Drosophila melanogaster: one gene and its partners. The gene in region 1 interacts genetically with each later gene. Each region holds a gene or a part of one and is shown in the gene's direction. Other genes may lie near its edges.

The links.
Region 2: of RanGAP (region 1) and zuc, changing one enhances a phenotype caused by changing the other (phenotypic enhancement), as found in Drosophila melanogaster (one study listed by BioGRID).
Region 3: of RanGAP (region 1) and Rcc1, changing one suppresses a phenotype caused by changing the other (phenotypic suppression), as found in Drosophila melanogaster (2 studies listed by BioGRID).

Annotation. Positions count from the first base shown.
Region 1 is NT_033779.5:19,440,203-19,443,955, forward strand, and holds the start of RanGAP (Ran GTPase activating protein), read left to right. Parts: upstream 1-1,756; 5' UTR 1,757-2,053; intron 2,054-2,136; exon of another isoform or gene 2,137-2,525; intron 2,526-2,630; exon of another isoform or gene 2,631-3,101; coding exon of another isoform or gene 3,102-3,345; intron 3,346-3,428; coding exon of another isoform or gene 3,429-3,649; intron 3,650-3,709; coding exon of another isoform or gene 3,710-3,753. Other genes in the region: CG10237 (uncharacterized protein), read right to left, coding at 462-519; Hs2st (heparan sulfate 2-O-sulfotransferase), read right to left, coding at 3,102-3,345, 3,429-3,649, 3,710-3,753. UniProt on the Drosophila melanogaster protein: GTPase activator for the nuclear Ras-related regulatory protein Ran, converting it to the putatively inactive GDP-bound state. Trans-acting factor necessary for meiotic distortion.
Region 2 is NT_033779.5:11,988,234-11,991,986, reverse strand, and holds zuc (zucchini), read left to right. Parts: upstream 1-2,104; 5' UTR 2,105-2,162; coding exon 2,163-2,924; 3' UTR 2,925-3,252; downstream 3,253-3,753. Other genes in the region: escl, read right to left, coding at 1-412, 468-657, 716-1,014; dgt2 (dim gamma-tubulin 2), read right to left, coding at 1,211-1,674, 1,732-1,963; CG34163 (uncharacterized protein), read right to left, coding at 3,352-3,603, 3,658-3,669. UniProt on the Drosophila melanogaster protein: Cardiolipin hydrolase present at the mitochondrial outer membrane required for piRNA metabolic process.
Region 3 is NT_037436.4:5,930,680-5,934,432, reverse strand, and holds the start of Rcc1 (regulator of chromosome condensation 1), read left to right. Parts: upstream 1-1,659; 5' UTR 1,660-2,027; intron 2,028-2,115; 5' UTR 2,116-2,151; coding exon 2,152-2,815; intron 2,816-2,874; coding exon 2,875-3,753. Other genes in the region: Egfrap (EGFR adaptor protein), read left to right, coding at 1-28, 99-379, 442-663. UniProt on the Drosophila melanogaster protein: Promotes the exchange of Ran-bound GDP by GTP. Involved in the regulation of onset of chromosome condensation in the S phase. Binds to chromatin.

The DNA of each region.
Region 1 (3,753 bases):
AGAAACCTGCTTTTGAAGAACGTGACAATGGCGGTTCAAAAGCAAAAGTGCTTTGACCTTACTCAAGAGATGGAAAAAGTACAAGTCGGTAGATATTACTGACATCGAACAAATGGATTGTTACATGAATACTCGCTTGATGTCCAAACAATTTAGATGGCATATCAAAAGGCATTGCAAAAAGTGTTGTTTTTTTTAAATTATTTATATTTTGAATACCTTTTAAATACTCTTTCTCGAACTAATCGTGACTTTCAATTACCAGCACAACTGTATATAAGTTTTTAACAAACTGGTGTATAGTTTTTCGAGCAACTGTAGCCACGCGCCTTATATAAATACATACGTACGTATATAGAAAATAATTCTATTTGAGGGAGATAATTCTAAGAAAATGCATATAGTACTTGCAATAAATATACGATAAAAAATGGGGTTCGGCAGATTTCGCTATTGCTCACCAAGTGGGAATTCAGAGGGCAGGCACCTCATCGCAGATGCAGTGGTCAGCATGGTCATGGCGATGCAGATCGAATGAATACACACACAAGTTACTTTACAACTAACTAAACCGGTATGCACATGCAAATGCTAGCGTATGTAAATAAATTAATATTTCTTTATTCAGGCTGATCGAGTCGGGAGCATCGGCGGTGGCTAAATGGGTCAATGTCGTCGGCGAGTTACTGAACTTTGTCTGAAATTCTCGAGCGACGAGTGCGAAAGGGGGGAATGCATGCAACAGTAATGAGCAAAAGGCAATGCAAAAAACACGGACAGACAGTGATGCCTCGTAAATAAGGGCTGAGCGTAGCTACATAGTGATAGTGATGGTGATCTGGCTAAGATATTTTTATGGTCCCTAGCGCTACACACTCAGAAATGCACTCTTAAAAAGAAAAGCACTCTATATGTATATATATATACAAATGTATATATGAGATCCAATTACTCACCTTGTTTGAATTGAAAATCGGCTAATCCACAAATAGTTGGCTGGTACAGTGGAAATCCTTCGGAACTCCCGTTCGACTCCGATATATGTACCTAGTGAGCTTGGGTCGCGTTTGAAGACTGAAAATACAAAGCTGCTTGTCAAATCGTTTTATAGCCGCCCCTTTTATGCACTGCGTGCATTGCACATATGTATTGTACGACAAAGTTATAGTTATCAAGATATATACATAGGTCGGTCGGAATAGTCGGGCACTCGTAAGGCCAGCGCGACTTAATAGGTCATTATAAGCGACCGATTCGAGTTAAGAGCTCTAAAGATCACGTCGCGAATCGCCGCATGGGATCTTCTTTTTTTTTTTTGGCTTGTTTTGCATAAGTTCACCTGAAAATGGTTCACTGAGCTCAGCATTAATTTTATGTTATTTCCATTGTTTTTAGTACGTTAAAGTGCCAAGACAAGTGCGGTATTTCTCACGGTGCAGCGCACTCAATCGATTTTCCACAGCAATTAACATTATTAAATATAATGTTGCAGAAGGTACACTGAAAGTAAGTGAGTACTACAAAATTCAAGAACTTTCTTCACTTTGTGTGCACTTTTAGAAATGTTCTTGACTTAAAACAATATAGTTATTATTATTATTATTGAAAAAATCCGTACTTTCTATCAGGAAATCCACTTTGCTATATTTTGTAACTATATACACTTTGTAACTTGTACTGTTTAGCACTTTCGAGAAATTCTCATCTGCCACTTGCGAAAAGTCCACTTCCTATATTTGTTCTAGAATGTAAACGAAGGAATATTTTCATTTCTCGTCGCAAAATACGAAATTTTTAAGTTAGCTATATAGCATCGGGGCACTTTCGCAATCGCGGCACAGCTTTATATATGTATATATATTTATATTAAGTGCGTGTTCTGAGCGTTTCGCACAGTGTATCGTGGTTAATCTTCTGATGGTTACGCGACTTGGATGCAATTAGACTTGAACTTTTGAACGCTCCGTACACGAGTAGTTTAAAGACTAATCGCCTTCGCCACTGTGACTGAGTGAAAAACGAGTTTGTAATCCCTCTTACGGATCGTAAGTGTGTAAGTTATTGCTTTGGCTATCACTCCTCCCGTTCGACACAACAGTAACTTTCTGCTTTTCTGCCGGACACTAGCTAATGTACCTTCTTTCGACTGGCGTGTCCGCGTTCCACGATCAAGTGATCAACTGACTGACGGGGGCTGTGGGTAATTCGAGCTCATTTGCTTTTAGTTTCAAGCACGAGCAATTAATTAAGTATTTCACTGCTCGCCGTTTCCAAATGTATTTCCATGCCATTTCTTGCGCTTGCCTGAGCCCATTCTGCGTGTCGGACCGCCATTCCGCCATTTAGCCATTCGGTCATTCCGTCCTCCAGTCAGACGATCACCTTCGAGCACGGAGCTACGTCAGCCTTTAAAGTCCGGCGGAATTTCGTTGGGCAGCCAAGTGCAATTAGCTAAGTCGAAGTACAGAACGCTGAAAGTTAAAAGTAACCCACTGATGGCATTAATCAATTTACGAACACGCAATCCCAGCGACAGCTGTTGATACGCACAGCGCGCTTCACATGGACATACAGACAGACAGACGGACAGACACTCCATTATCTATTAGGTATTTACATGCATTTAATTTGAATGTCAAATTCAGATTTATGGCCTAGCCTATGAGAGTTACAAACAATGAGAGTCGATTACATATGAATTTACACCTATTTCTAGTTCTACGTATGCATATCGATTCAATTCATCCATTCATTCCGTTGTATTGTCGAGTATAAAACGTACATTTGACTAATCATATAGAGATATTGTGCAGACAATTGTTGCTAGATATTGCTTACGATGAACTACAAAAGCGTTCTCGCCTGTTTTATACGTTTAAAGCTTAGACTACGTACAAAAGGTTTGGGTTAGTAATATGTCAACGATATTCAATGCTAAAGTCTTAGGTAGCGCTTAAGTGTACGGATGAGTTACTCTTAAGTACAGATCAAATCTATGCGAAGGAGAATTACGTATTTACAATACAATTGTCGGAGACTCCTGGTTAGATCACTGGAGTCGGCCGAATCCTCGCTCTGCGACTCCGTCGCCTCCTCTGCAATCATTTGGGCCGAATCTTCTCGTACATGAATTTCTGCACGTGCTTGTTGTCCGGCTGCATGAGCTTCTTCTTGTTGAACTCGAATTGGGCCAGCGCGAAATCGTACAGATCGTTTTCCATTTGCCAGATTTTTGTCTTTTGAATGGATTTAATTGTCGATTCGCTGGGCGGAAGCTTGGAAGATGTCACCCGCAGATGAGATTTGTTTGAATTATGATAGTGCTCACGAAAGCCGTGAAAAATTCTGCAAAAGAAAAAAAAAGAACAGGTCAATGAAGCAACTGGAGTATTCTAAAACAGACAATAACATATGGTTGGGAGGCACACCTTGGAAGGGATCTCTCGAGCAGATCCACAAACTCGTACATCTGCTCTGTGACTCCGACTAGGAAGTATTCGTTGACTAGATTGCGCTTGGCCTGGTCCAAGGCCCAACTGCTGCCGGGTTCCCAGCACTCGGCTGCATGGCCACAGAAGAAGGGTATCTGCAGCCACATGTTTTTGGGATCACAGTCGGGTTGTTTCTGCACCACGCACTCATCGAAGGTCTGCAAAGATGTGTGAGGGCTTTGGTTACAGGGAGGTTAATACCTTGATGCTCTACCTACAATTTTATTGCCCGCCTTCTTGCGGACTAAATTCGGTCGGTAGT
Region 2 (3,753 bases), 7.5 Mb from region 1:
AACCAGAGCTCAGCTCGATGGCCTCTTTTATATCGGGCTTATCCAGTCGCCAGAGCTTCAGTGAGTGATCCATTCCACTGGACATGATGCGATCACCGCGCAAATCAAAGTCCACAGACAACACTTCGTCGCGGTGTCCTTCTACGCCGCCGAAAACCGCCACACACACGTCCGACTGAATGTTCCAAAGGCGCAGGGAGTGATCCTTGCTGCCGGACAGAAGTAACTGCGGTCTAGTCGGATGAAACTTCAGCTCGTTAATGGCGTGCCCGTGACCAATGTAGTTTTTGCTGCACTGGTGCTTAACCGGATTGAATATGCGAATGACGCCGCGGTAACCAGCCGCGGCAAGCACAGGATCGCCGGTCACAGAGTCGTAGGACCAAGCGCATGTGTAGAAACTTTCATCGGTCTAACGAGGGCGTAACGATGATGTATGTAAGTAATAGCATATGATGAGTACTTACATCTGGGTCTGCGTAGACTTGCAGCAGTCGAATGCCTTCGCAGGACTCCTGTCCGGTGCTCCTCTCGCACTCATAAATGGAAACCCGATCCTTGCCAACGGTGGCGAACACCTGCGGCTGGCCTCTGTCCAGGAACGGATTGAACTGCACTCCGAAGATCTGATGGTTGTGGTCCTCGCGGACATGGGAGCTGCAATGCATCCGGGATATAAACATTATGACTTATGTTCTGCCTGGAAAAATCACACCTATATTTGTACAAGGGCTGAACCATTTTGGGTGCCTTGATCCGCCGACACAGGCGGTTCAATTTTCGTGTATTTGGCGATTTGCTTCTGGTGGTGGTCGTAGTAGTGCTGAACAAACTGGCGGTGTCCTCCCGATCCACGGAATTAACTTCGTGCTCATCATCCGGCTCCACAACATTGCAGACACTCGAGGAATTATTGCTCAGCACTGCCTCCGCTGGAGAGTGGTCAGTGGATTCGTCCTCTGCCGGTGGCTCTTCGCTCGGAGGAGATATTTCACTGGGATTCGTTTCGGTCATATCTGTTTTATTCCGGCAAACTTAAAAGCTTCTTTTGTTTACAAATTGTTTATCCCTAGAGTGACCGTCTGCAAATACTGCAGTGCAAAACAGTGTTGCCATTCTAGAGCGAAAAGACCTAAACGAACAACCCTGTTTAAATCACAATTATAATGTATTTAAAAATCTAATTTACATAATACTAGTTTGCTTAAATCTACTTCTTGGCGGCGAGCAGCTCGTCCAGGTGCGCCTCCACCTCCTTATGTGCCTTGACGCTATGTTCGGTGCGAGAGGCGGCCTCGTGGACGAAAAATCCGCGCAGTAGTTCTGCTTTTGTTTGAACAAGTTGCGCCTGCGCCTGTTGCAATTTTAGTTCGTTTGCCAACTGCGGCCCCAATTTCAATTCGGCGGTCTCCTTGAGAAGCGTGCACTTACGAGTGAGAAGCGCAACCAATTTCTCCAGACCGCTGCGATGCTCCTCCTCCAGGCGCAGAATCTCCTTTTGGTCGCAGCTTAAGTCCGCCTCCTGGCCAAAGGCGTCCGGGAACTCCTCGCGTATCCTGTCGCACAATTCGGCAATGGGTTGCAGAGTTGTGCGTAATTGAGCGGACAATTTGGTACGCACCGTCTTGCGATCCGTGTAATTCAAGGGCGGAAAACTGCTGCCGCTCGGTAGACCTGTTAGATTTCCAATGGTTATTCACTGCTTTTGGAATAAACTTGTAACGCGCCTACCAAGCACCTGCTCCTGACCAGCTCCCTCCATCTCGCCGAGTCGCGCATAACTTCCAATGGAAACCAATTTGAGGGCTCTTTTGATTTCATCACTCGGATTTGGGCCCACATCCAGGCGTCTTAGCTCGTCCAGCACTAGCTTCAGCTTGAGCACCTTCTTCAGCTCCGCATCGCGAGCCAGCCGCAAATCTTCCGAGTGTTCGGGCAAGAGCGTGGCGGATGGATCATCCATTTAGGTGGTAAAATGCTTAAATTGACCCGAAATTGATTGTTTGATTCGAATGGGCAAGCGCATGGCTGCGATACGGCAACGCTACTGAGCAACAGTGTGACCGGTAGCTACTAACGATAATATATTTTACTTATATTTTATAATGGTCACCCCAAGATTATTATTTAAAGCGCGCTAGAGAAACGAGCTAAATTCAAAAATGTTGATTACCCAAATAATTATGAAACAAATTCGAGACTATCCCATTGTGTCCACAATAAGCATTGCCGTCAGCACTGTCCTGGCCTCAGAGGTGATTTGGAAGCTGGTGCAGTGCTCGCGCAGCAAGCGAGAGAAGGCAAGCCGCGTGCACGAAGTGATCATCTTCAATGAACTGGGCGAGATCTGTGCGGCGGTGCATATGCGCAACAGCAGCATGGGATCCCAGAAACCACAAGTGTCGCCCTGCTGCAACACGCATTGTTCGCTGCGGAATGTGGCCAAGATCGTAGAGCAGATCGATCGGGCTGTATACTCCATTGACCTGGCCATATACACCTTCACCTCGCTTTTTTTGGCGGATTCAATAAAGCGGGCCCTGCAGCGCGGCGTGATTATCCGGATCATCAGCGACGGGGAGATGGTCTACTCCAAAGGTTCTCAGATCAGTATGCTGGCACAATTGGGAGTTCCAGTTCGCGTCCCCATTACCACGAACTTGATGCACAACAAATTCTGCATAATCGACGGCTTCGAGCGCGTCGAGGAGATTCGTCTGCTGAGGAAGCTCAAGTTTATGCGTCCGTGCTATAGCATCGTGATCAGCGGCTCCGTAAACTGGACGGCTCTTGGACTGGGAGGCAATTGGGAGAACTGCATTATCACAGCTGACGACAAACTCACAGCCACGTTTCAGGCGGAATTCCAACGAATGTGGCGGGCTTTTGCGAAGACCGAGGGGAGCCAAATCCAGCTCAAGTAGAAATCAATTGATTTAATGTATGACTACCAAACAGTTCCTCAGTATGCCAAATAATTATAGTTCTTATTTTCTAAGTGCCTTCAATTAAACTAAAACTTTTTAAGGCAGCTTGATCTTCACACACAAAGGAGTGCCAAATTAATTAAGCAAAACAAAAGTAATCAAAATGTATACCTAACAGTATAATCCGTATGAAATCTTTATCACTTCGATTGAGTTGACTAATTTTCAACGTGCATTTAGTTATGATCAGCTTTGACTATATATATAACTTTCTACTTTATTCATCATGTTATTGAAAGCTTTTAAGTAAATAAAAGTTAATTACAAAAAAGATTACATGTATGTATGTACAAAACATTCCGAAATATAACTGCTACAGATTTCTTTACTCTTATATAGTTTCTAAACCAAACCAACTTATCAACTATTTGTCCTGTTGCTTCAGCTTATCAGCGCGGCGCATAAATGACTCCTTTAGGCCGTTGAGTCGTTCGATTTCTGCCAGAATCTCATAATATTCCAGATAGGATACACCCGATTTCAGTAATATTTCTTGTTTTAAAGTGAGCACGCGGGCGACTTCCTTTTGCTTGCGATGCAAAGCGTTCAGTTTGAGCGAAACGGACGACTCCTTGGGCGCCTTGGACTTCTTGTCGTTCTTTGATTTCTTGGACTTCTACGGGGATCAAAATGAAATAAGTTTTAGGTCGCAAATAATTTGTTTACGTACTTTAATTTCCATTGTTTATGTGGAGATCTCCGCGTGTTAAGTTGTTATTAAGTTCGTGGTGAATGGCAAAACAAAAAATAAGAAGAAGAGTAGGCG
Region 3 (3,753 bases), on another chromosome or scaffold:
AAAAAGTATCTGAGAGAGACGTGCAGCGGTAGGTAGACTCTTATGTCACAGATATGAAATGGTTGGCTAAGGTTACCTTACTTCCGTGTAATTATCAGCCAACTCCAGTCCGAAATTGTTTCCCGGCCACAGTGCCCTGCGCCTGGATAATCTCAGCCTAGCCGAGCAGCAGGAGCTTAAGGGAGCCGCCTGGTTTCAAGCGGGCATTCCCAGGGAAATATCCCTGGAGGCCCTGTCCCGACAGAGTCCAGGTGCGTTTCTAGTGCGCCAGAGCAGCACAAAGCCGGGATGTTTCGCCCTCTCGCTGCGAGTGCCACCACCTTCACCACGAGTGGCCCACTATCTGATCCTGCGGACGCAAAGGGGCTACAAGATAAAGGTAAGTCCGAGCACATTATATATAATATTTATTATATATTATGATGGTATTTACCATTTTAGGGCTTCACCAAGGAGTTCAGTTCGCTGAAGGCGCTGATCACGCACCACTCGGTGATGCCGGAACTGTTGCCCGTGCCGCTGACCCTGCCACGCCCACCTAGTACCCGATCGCAACGATCGCAGGGCGCCTACGCAGGCGGAACCGGAAACGGGGGAGCGGACTTCGAGATGTATGGCTCGCTGAACGACTTTCGCAAAATGATGGCCGATTTGAATGTGTGACCGCTGGGCGCTCTTAATTAATTAAGTAATTATGTCACGTTGATTGAATTAAGCTGCCCAGCTTGTCACATTGTCCTGCGTCCTGTGTCCTCTGTCGCGACAGGATAACAATCTGTTTAATTTGCGTAATTGGCTGTGCTGACGACGGTTGACGTGGCTACCAATAAATAGGGTCCATGTCCATGTGTACTCGGGCCGGCAAAGGCCCACCTGTCCGACAGGTGCTGCAAAAAGTGCACAAACATTTTTTATTAAAATTGATAATAAAATCAGCTACGTGGGCGGCTGCGATGGCTGTGGTTTCGCAGGGGCGTGTTTGCATACACAAATATAGGGAATACGCTCAAATCATTTTTGCGAAACTGATTAAAAAATGGCAAAAACATGCAATATGTATACGCAAACAGACATCAAGTGATTATTATTTTTCGCGTTTTTATCAATTCTGCTCGTTTTGTACGGCTAGTGCTGAGTGGCAGATGCATCAGACAGACGTACTATACATATCTGAATGGGGGCAGTCGGATTAAATGTTAATGTTTGGGTAGGGAAATCGAGGGTCGGCTGCCGGGATTTGGAGTGCGGATGCGGAATGGGCAAAGTGGATTCTTTTTGTATTTGATGCACTCACTTTGCGGTGCAGTGGCTAGATAGACTTATATGGGAAGTAAATGAATAACCAATTATATTGTAACTCTATGTATTTTGTAATAAAGTTAATGGAAAACCTTTTCAAATAGTATTGTTTATTTTCTGATCTATAGCATGCAATATACATACAATCACGTTGAAAATGAAGCATTGGCTTAAAGGTAGAACATTTTATAATATTTAACAACAAATTTGTTTTGAAATAATGTGAGTGGGTAAGGAAAGTTTAAATTTCCCGCACATTATCGATAGCTCTTTCGATAGAATCGGTCGGCAATCGGCTCGCAAACTCGCTAGAGAACTGTTAACCAACTGTCATAGTTTGAGTTCACGCTACGCTCCATTCTAAAAGTTATCAATATCTCGAAATAAATAAACTGTGGGTTATAGCAGGCTTTGTTTTATTATTTGCAATTAGGAACAGTGCAAAGATAACAAAGATGTACTAACAATTGGTCAATAGGCGCAGAAGCGACCCTGAAATTGGAGTGTGACCTCGCTAATAGCCAGATGCGGCGGGGAATTCGCCAAGCCCGCAACACTGTACCCTGAAGGCCAGCTGCCGCCGCTTCCCGCGCATTTTCTTCGACCCAGGTAGGTCGCATTGGGATTCGCTTGCATTTGGTGTTTTCACTCGCCTCCAAACCGCCGTAGCAACACCATCTAGACAACGTGGAACTCCCGCTGAACCAGAGACCGGCATTATTTCCATTGTGAGTGTGAGCAGAACTAAGCTGCATCACCGGCGTCCCTAACCTTATATATATTTCTTACACACACACACAAACGCACTATTTCCAGTTTCGGTGACAAAAAATTGTGAAAATACAAGCTAAAATGCCGCGCAGAAAGGCCCTGACTAATAACAACAATGCCGGCGAAGCGGAGCAGCAGCCACCGAAGGCGAAGCGCGCCAGAATCGCTTTTCATCTGGAGCTGCCCAAGCGGAGGACCGTGCTCGGCAACGTGCTAGTCTGCGGCAACGGCGATGTGGGCCAACTTGGTCTCGGCGAGGACATACTGGAGCGCAAGCGTCTCAGCCCTGTGGCGGGCATCCCGGATGCCGTGGACATATCCGCCGGTGGCATGCACAACCTGGTGCTGACCAAGTCAGGGGACATTTACTCATTCGGTTGCAATGACGAAGGTGCTCTAGGCCGTGACACCAGCGAGGATGGCAGCGAGTCAAAGCCGGATCTTATCGATTTGCCCGGCAAGGCTCTGTGCATTTCGGCGGGAGACTCGCATTCCGCTTGTCTGCTGGAGGATGGCCGTGTCTTCGCTTGGGGCTCGTTCCGGGACTCTCATGGCAACATGGGCCTCACCATCGATGGTAACAAGCGTACGCCCATCGATCTGATGGAGGGCACTGTCTGTTGTAGCATCGCGTCCGGCGCCGATCATTTGGTCATCCTGACCACTGCCGGAAAGGTCTTTACCGTGGGCTGCGCTGAGCAGGGACAACTCGGCCGGCTGTCGGAGCGTTCCATCTCCGGAGAGGGTAAGTCTTGGCATTCAAATTTTCAACGAAATTCGTATTAAAAAAATGTTAACCCCCAGGTCGTCGTGGCAAACGCGACTTGCTGCGGCCCACCCAGCTCATCATCACGCGGGCCAAACCTTTTGAGGCCATCTGGGCCACCAACTACTGCACATTCATGCGCGAGTCACAGACACAGGTCATCTGGGCCACAGGGCTTAACAACTTCAAGCAGCTGGCCCACGAGACAAAGGGCAAGGAGTTCGCACTGACGCCCATCAAGACGGAACTCAAAGATATCCGACATATTGCCGGCGGTCAGCACCATACTGTCATCCTGACAACGGACCTTAAGTGTTCCGTAGTGGGTCGTCCGGAGTACGGTCGGCTTGGTCTGGGCGATGTCAAGGATGTTGTGGAGAAGCCAACGATTGTAAAGAAGCTGACCGAAAAGATTGTGTCCGTTGGATGTGGCGAAGTCTGTTCCTATGCCGTTACAATTGATGGCAAACTGTATTCCTGGGGCTCCGGTGTCAACAATCAACTAGGCGTTGGCGACGGCGATGATGAGCTCGAACCGATCGTGGTTGTCAGCAAGAACACGCAGGGGAAGCACATGCTGCTCGCATCTGGCGGTGGTCAGCACGCAATCTTTTTGGTCAAAGCGGACAAACAGGACCAGAAGGAGAATGTTCCAGTGAAGGTGTCTGGCAGCAGCAGCATCAGTAAAAAGGACAAGACCCCGCCGCAGGATAATGTCGACAAGGAAGCCGAGAATGTAGATAAGCAGGAGCAGAAGGAAAACTTGCCGGCGAAGGCGTCAACCAGCAGCAAAAAGAACAAGACGCCGCCGCAGGATAATGCCGACAAGGAAGCCGAGAATGTAGATAAGCAGGAGCAGAAGGAAAACTTGCCGGCGAAGGCGTCAACCAGCAGCAAAAAGATTAAGACGCCGCCGC